2 linked regions of the Bombyx mori genome follow. The protein of the gene in region 1 purifies or fractionates together with the protein of each later gene. This does not show direct contact. Links are inferred from orthologs where the notes say so. Each region holds a gene or a part of one and is shown on either strand. Other genes may lie near its edges.

Region 1 (3,760 bases):
TTTCATCTTTTTCAGCAGCTTCAAGGTATGGGGTGCCATCTGGGGTTTTACCATTCTTAGAAGCTCCCTGCAAGCAAGCAAACAATTTGTAATTAGTTAATTTAAGAGAATTTGGAGAATTTCTTTATGCTTTAGATCCTCTTCTTCCTTCATCCATTTGTAATAACAATTATCCTATCTTTATAGCCTTATCCAACTTTTCTTCTTATTATTTTTATTTATACAGTCTACATTTGTTACAAATTTAAAAAGTTTTCTAGATTTCTTTTTATTGCACAATATGTCCATGATCAAAAACTGCTGAGTGAATTTAGAGCACATATTCAGTAGCACAACCAGAAACCCTTTCAGTAAAGTGCTCACTTTGATGATAATAATGCCTGTGTCCCTAGAAGACTACTGGCTCTGGATTCAGCAAAGTAGTTTCCATGACCATCACATCAGGCAACATGATGGAATCCAGCAGGTGAGTCCTCTTGGTGTTCACCTTAAGTTAACTATGACTTAATTCAAAGTACAAATCATAATGACTCAAGATGATTTGTGAGCTTGTTTTATTAAACAATGTTATTCCTTAATAATGGAAGTCATTTGTGAATATATGTTGAGTATGTAATTCATTATGCCAACTGTACATGTTTGTCGGGACACCACGAGACAGAATAAGGACGAGTGTGTTCATGGCACCCTTGTCTCAGCTCGTGGCTCTCGGAAACGTGTCAGTTTTTACGCTCTAGTCCAAGGGTCTCAGGGAGTCTTGAGATGAAAACCAGAGCATGCCTGTACACGCTCATTCATTTAGTTGTCCGTCAACTGCATCAGTTTCTTCTAGGTCCATTCCAAAGAGAATTTGAAGTTCAATTGATACAACAAGTGTGTACATGGTGTGGTCTCGTGTCAAGCTTCTACGAGACGAGAGCAAACAAGCGACACATGAGACAATGAGATGAATGTGTACAGCACATTAGAAAAATTGTTACCCAGCTGCTGGATTCCAACAATGGTACAGTCACAATTCAACACTAATGCAATAGGAATCTTAAACCTTTATGTCACAATGGCCTTAAATTTTTTTTTTTTTAATTATAATTACATGATATTATTTACCCCTTTGACTGTCGTGTAGGTCACCAGTGCCTTCAGTGGCCACATTAAAGTAATTATGTCGATTTCTATTATTTAGCACCTCGATTGCCTAACTTTGCTTTCTTTTGTTTTTAATGAATTGAACTTTTAGGTCTTTTAAAAATAGATTCATTCTCATTTTCTTCTGATTTATCTTTCGCAGAGTCTACTAGATATTATAGCGCTTAGTAAGAAGATCGAAGACAGAAATTGACATAATTGCTTATCTGCCCCATGTAGGGTGCCAGTGATCTATGTAGCAGTAAAAGGGTTAATTATTTTTAAAGCTCTGTAATTGTTAATTATTAAATTATTAATATCACAATTCTATGTATTATTTAAACTGCGAACATACTTACATTCTTGAGTAATGTTTTGACACAGTCAGTGTGGCCTTCCCATATTGCAGCTAATAGAACTGATATTCCATGTTTATCAACAACCTGTCAATTACCAAATTAAGTGTCTACAGGTAAAATAGTTATTTGTATGTTACAAATCAATCATTCTGGTTTATGGTTAATCTATGCTTACATTTGGATCAGCCCCTTTGTTCAGTAAATAGTTCAAGACCGTTGTTTGTCCATAGTCTGCTGCATAGTGTAATGGAACTCTTCCATCTATAGAAGCATTCACGTCTATTTTCTAAAATAATATTATTGCACGACATTAAATCATTTATTAAGGCATGATATTAGTATCATAATTGCATATTATCTAAATCTGTAAAAATGGTCGTACAATGGTAAGTACAAAGAAGTATAATGAAGCAAGGATAATTTTGGGACATTTTGTTGTTTGTAATTACATTCTCGAGTGCAAGAATACTTTCTCTTGCCAACAATACAATGCTAGCGGTTTCGTATGTTTACGCAAATAATGAATAATGTAAAATTATGATGTACACTGCCTACCTTATTTTCAATAATGTCCTTTACTTGGTCTATATCCCCGTTTTTGATTCCCCAAACTAATTCGCTCATGATGATGTACTTTTTAATCCTTTTTAAGTTTATCACTTTTTTAAATCGAATACAATACAATGGAAGAAATGGCGTTTTTGTCAGATTTTGACATTTTTTTTTAAATTAGTGACATAGTAGTAATTTCATTTTTCCAACTGGAAAGCCGAAGCTATCACACCATACAGCCTAATCTTTTGTATTTTTTGATGAAGGTGAATAATTTGAGACATTAATTAATTTGAATGAAATTAAATGAAATGAGATGAAATAAAGTGTCAGTAAAATGGTGATTATTTACTGAGACAATTACTGGACTTTTTGGAAAATCCCGAGAAGTTACGTCTAGCGATTTTGTTACTATTATTACACACAATTAAACTTGAAAGCTGAAGGTATCAGACTACACACAAGAAATTAGTTTTACCCAAAATAGAAATAGTGTGAAATTTAATAAATTAAATCATGAGACGAAATAATAAATGATGATTTAAGATGCAACCAAATGCAGTAGCCTCTCTGTAAAGTTATGGAAATTTATTGATTATTTAAGGATTTTTATACAAATACGGACGAAGCAAGTATTTCGACGTAGCTATTTACGTCTACCGATTTGATTTCATTTGTTTAAACTTAGTTTTGTATTCTTTTATTGATACTAAATGGTCAATAAATTACAAATTTTATGTGTTTAAACCAGAAGCAACTATTACATTGATAAAATAAATGTAGTGTCTTAAATAGCTTAACCTCTAGCACCGCGCTTATTATATAAGATTAAATATCCAACACATCGAGTCATAAGTACAAGCTTTAAGCACGAGTCATTGAACTCTACGCATTTCGAACAATAGTTTGAAACGATGCTACCTAAACTTGGAGAAAAATTTGAGTTGGTAATGGAAATGCATCATATCATTCAAAGCGTCTTGAAAATAATTCTACTACTGCCTGAAAAAAAGGACATATGTATATAAAACTAGCCAGCAGATTACTGCTGAAAGATGGAAACGTTGTGGGGCACGTCACCAAGGAAGAAAACAACTTTTATGGCAAAATTGATGAAATTATAGATAGACACTTTTGTTATTTAAGTTACTGATTCAGAAATAGAATACTCGGAATCGTCGGGCGACAGTAATAATTAATATGTTAAGAAATTTATTGTAGGTATACCTACAGGTATCTATAACAAAAATAAAAATCATTTTTTTTTTATTTGATCCACAGGTTGTGAGCCCCAGAACGTGTGTTTATAAATAGCTTCTCGTGACCGGGGACTACAGTAATAGGGGTTATAGTATAAATTTTTGAATACGAGTTCCGACGCCGAACTAACGCTTCAGAAACAGCTTGCAATATCAATGTTGCGTATGAAGAGGGGACTTTTACTTTTTCCTAGCTATGCTGATAGCCTTGAGAGGCTATTTCAGCTTCTCCTTGACGCTTAGGTGAGCTCACGGGGCTCAAACCGGGAGTGTTGCTAACACTGACCCTAGTAAGAGCAGTGCTTCGCAGAATCTACCACCGGATTGGAAACGCGACTCGCGAAACGGCAGATGTCTACTGTGCTGAACTCCGAACAATGATAGCAAAATTTGTAGTGAAACAGCCCTGATTCATGAATCGATCTTTGCTATTACTGCTCCATGATAATGCGAGTCCTAGGACAG
Region 2 (3,760 bases), about 4.4 Mb from region 1:
CCTCCACACCACCAGAAAAAGAAACAGGTGGAGAAAAATCTTACGAGAAGTAATGACATAGAAATAGTGCAATAGGGAAATAGTGCAACGAAGAATGAATTTTAAATTTGAAAGTGGCAATAACTTGTCTTTTAAATTTGAAAGTGGCAATAACTTGTCTGTTAAATATAAAGTAATTTAAAAGGAAAAATTGATACCAAAATAAATGTCGTTAAGTGTGTTTCTGATCTTATTTTCCATGTCTTCCACCATGCGCCCAATATTTGCAATGTGCGGAGTCACATCACTTACTGTCGAGTCTTGTTCTGCCTGAAATTCAAAAGATAATCTATAATATTAAAAATACGATATTATAATTTTAGAGTAAATGGATAGAATACAGAAAGTCTGAAAGAGGCACATGGGACAGAGAAGTTAAGAAGTGTGTATTTGGAATGATATGGACATGTAATAAGACGAAATGACAATGAGATTGTTAAGAGTTTTAACTGTGAATGTGCAAGGCTTTAGAGGGAGAGATAGACCTAAAAAAATTGGATGGATTGAGTGAAAGATGATATTATGTGTAAGAGGGGAGTAAAGAAGAAATAGTTTATGATAGAGGAGTATGGAAGGAGAAAACATGTTGCGCCGACCCCAGGTCACTGGGAGTAGGGCAAGAGAATGATAGTGATGATGATGGCATTATAATTTTATTAAGATTTGGGGATGCAGTACCAGAATGCAATTGTGAGGCTGCAATTGCATTGTTGTTGTTGCATAAATATAAAAATAGAACTCCTGCACAATATTATTAAGCTTTGTGCATATAAAATAAAACTAAATTTACCTGTCTAGTCAAACTGCCTCCAAGGTTCATCGTGCCGCTGCTTTCTTTATTAGTCTGAAGCCACAACATTGCAGTCGAGGTCAACTTGTAGTGAGCATTGCGTCCTGAACTCTTCTCGATCACCTCCACTACGTGGATTGAATCCCAGCATCCTTTGATCTTTTGGGAACCATCTCCAGCTTTCTTGATTAATATTACTCCTGAAATTGTTTTGTTTATTTTTGTATTTGTAATTATTATTTTTAAATATTTAAAGGTGGACTAAATAATGAAATATTAGTGTATAGATGAGTATTTTATACTATAAAATACTATTATATACACTAATATTTCATTAATCATTTCAAAGAATTAAAATAGAGTGTCAATGAAAATAATGAATGAAAAAGATGATGCAATTAAACATGAAGATTAATGTTTTATGTGAGAGATTATTTAACTAAAAGTATAAAAATATTACCAAATTAATATTATTTACTCTTTATTTAAAAGTAGTTTTTACACTTTATAGAGATCCATACCCAGTGGTGAAATGAAAGATAGCTTATATTTATTCTTAGAGCTCAAACTATTTCCACAGAATTTTGTAAAAATTGGCATACTGGTTTAGAGATGAAAACATAACATATAGACAGTTACTTTCATATTGTTAATGATATTTGTTATAGAACTTTTAAGATCAAAGAGTATAAAAGTAAATAATAAAAGTATTTAAAATTAACAATAACTTTCTAGCAAAATTAAATTTTATGAAACTCTTTATTGATCTCTAAATTAATATCTGTCTATATGAAAGCAAAGTGAAAATCCATTCAGAAATTCCAGAGAAGTGCTTCAACAAACAAACAGATTAATATAAAAGAACTAAAAATTGCTAGTTTCTGTTCTACTAGTCTTCTTTAGTTGCCCCCTAAAGTAATAAAAATACTATTATTACTTTTCTGTAATGCACAGCCACCCTGGAATTTACTGTTCTAATACATGTCTTTAATTTACAGAGACTAAATTAAGAGTGCTCACCTGCAAAGCCATGATCCATATCCCAAAGGTAGACTGAGCTAACGCCACCTTCAAAGTACATCTCTCGATATTGATCAAAGGCGAGGTTGGCATCTATTTCTAGTTTTCTCAAGCGTTCAGAGGGCATGGAGCCATCATCTAATGGTGGGTCGTAAGTATTCGACCAAGGAGACCTATAGGAGTCACCGTCGCGATTGTAATCGCATAATAAATAGTCTTTCCCGTTGCTACGATCCTGAGCAATCTTTAGAGGCTGATCTACTGATGATAATAGGTCGTCACACATACTCGGAACGAGATCTATCAAATCTGTTAAATTCTTTTCGATCTGCTGAGGGGGCAGCCTCCGCATCAAGTCCAGTGCACAATCCATTTGTTGGTCACTCTGTAACAAAATATATATGCACGATTTTAGTATAAATACTTCTTAATTTCCTTGCATTAGTCATCACAACAAATAGCTTGTTATGATGTATGCCAGGTCACTGAAACTGGAAAGACAACTTACCATATTGAAGTTTTATTATTCGGATTAACAATTAATAACAAAATAACCAAAGTAGTATAATTATTTCATTAAATTAATAACTACAAGTTTTAAAAGTCCCAACCCGAAAATGATAACTTGACGTAATTTGACACTTGAAGTTTAGTAAAGTACCTGCATATGTAGTGGTAGTTATATTTTTTTCACTAGAAAGGCGAAGGGATTAACTTAATCATTTTAAAGTCATTTAACCTAATCTTTTGCATATTCTGTTTTATAAAAATAATATAAAGTAATTCATTTCGCTCTATATCGGGTGGTGAGTAGCTATTTAGTTTAAGCGACATTTCAATTAATACGCGACATTTATCTTTATAATTAAAGGTGCATTTTATTTTGTATCATATCAACATATCGATGTTTTTAATTGAGCTTCAATTAAGTTTACCACATTCAAATAGCTGAAGAGGTTTCTTTATGATATTTTTTTTCAAATTTTAAACATAAAATGGCTCTCGTGTAAGGTTGCAAAAATTTCGTTTAAACCAACAGCCTTTCATCCCTAGGTATCATGGATAGTTTTCCAATAACAGCACTAGAGCGCATTATGCGGCATAATGCTCAACGTTGAATGTTCCAACTACAGCAACGCTTCGCACAATCGAGCACTCTCAAAAGTACTGCCTGTCATCAGAGATTTTATTAATGGCTCAAATAACTCATCTGTTTCATTATCATAAATATTTTCAATAAATATATCACTTGATAATGAAATAATTGATTGATTTAAACTCGGAGCACTCGATAAATTATCGTCATCACTGTCATCTGGATAAGATGATTCAATTAAAAAGTATACACATCATTTTCTTAGAACTCATTTAAAAAATACTCAAAACGAAAAAAAATGTTAATGAAATAATCGAAATCCAAATTACTTAAAATAACCGTAAATAGTTTTCAACCAATTATTATTGTTTACCACATTATTTATACATTAATGAGGTTGCTAGCTCCGTAAATATTTTTTTTTCAACACTGAACAACAGCGCACTCTGCTGATGCATTTGAAAACTAATTCACGTTCCAATTAAGCTTCAGCATAATTCGGCATTGTGTGCCACTGAGTCGTATTATGCTCTGTAATTGGGAAACTACCATGAAGTTGATTAATTTGGAACATTAATCAATAGGAGTGAACTTAAATCAAACGAAATGGTATGGGATTAAAAAACAGTCTCAAAAACGTAGTGGTTATTTATTGCGAAACTTTGTCCAGATATCTTGTTCATTTTCTCAATTTATGCATTTTTGCAGATATTAAACAGTTAATAAACAACCATTAACACACATTTAGGACTGAATAAACACTACATTAACAAAGTAAAAGAATTCACACAACTTTGCTTCTTGAATTACCGCCA

Evidence for each region. Proteins that work in one complex are often made in the same cells at the same time.
Region 2: the proteins of myotrophin (region 1) and F-actin capping protein beta subunit purify together in Homo sapiens (co-immunoprecipitation; 3 studies listed by BioGRID and IntAct, with this or other methods). This does not show direct contact. The link is inferred for Bombyx mori from reciprocal best matches to the Homo sapiens genes MTPN and CAPZB.

Annotation. Positions count from the first base shown.
Region 1 is NC_085109.1:7,219,934-7,223,693, reverse strand, and holds the start of myotrophin, read right to left. Parts: upstream 2,243-3,760; 5' UTR 2,109-2,242; coding exon 2,040-2,108; intron 1,771-2,039; coding exon 1,660-1,770; intron 1,569-1,659; coding exon 1,485-1,568; intron 1,451-1,484; exon of another isoform or gene 1,315-1,450; coding exon of another isoform or gene 1,289-1,314; intron 1,283-1,288; exon of another isoform or gene 946-1,282; coding exon of another isoform or gene 823-945; intron 467-822; coding exon of another isoform or gene 393-466; intron 68-392; coding exon 1-67. Other genes in the region: uncharacterized protein LOC119628361, read left to right, coding at 393-466, 823-945. UniProt on the Homo sapiens protein: Promotes dimerization of NF-kappa-B subunits and regulates NF-kappa-B transcription factor activity. Plays a role in the regulation of the growth of actin filaments.
Region 2 is NC_085109.1:2,866,702-2,870,461, reverse strand, and holds the start of F-actin capping protein beta subunit, read right to left. Parts: upstream 2,509-3,760; 5' UTR 2,361-2,508; coding exon 2,358-2,360; intron 2,235-2,357; coding exon 1,850-2,234; intron 1,030-1,849; coding exon 830-1,029; intron 310-829; coding exon 198-309; intron 1-197. UniProt on the Homo sapiens protein: F-actin-capping proteins bind in a Ca(2+)-independent manner to the fast growing ends of actin filaments (barbed end) thereby blocking the exchange of subunits at these ends.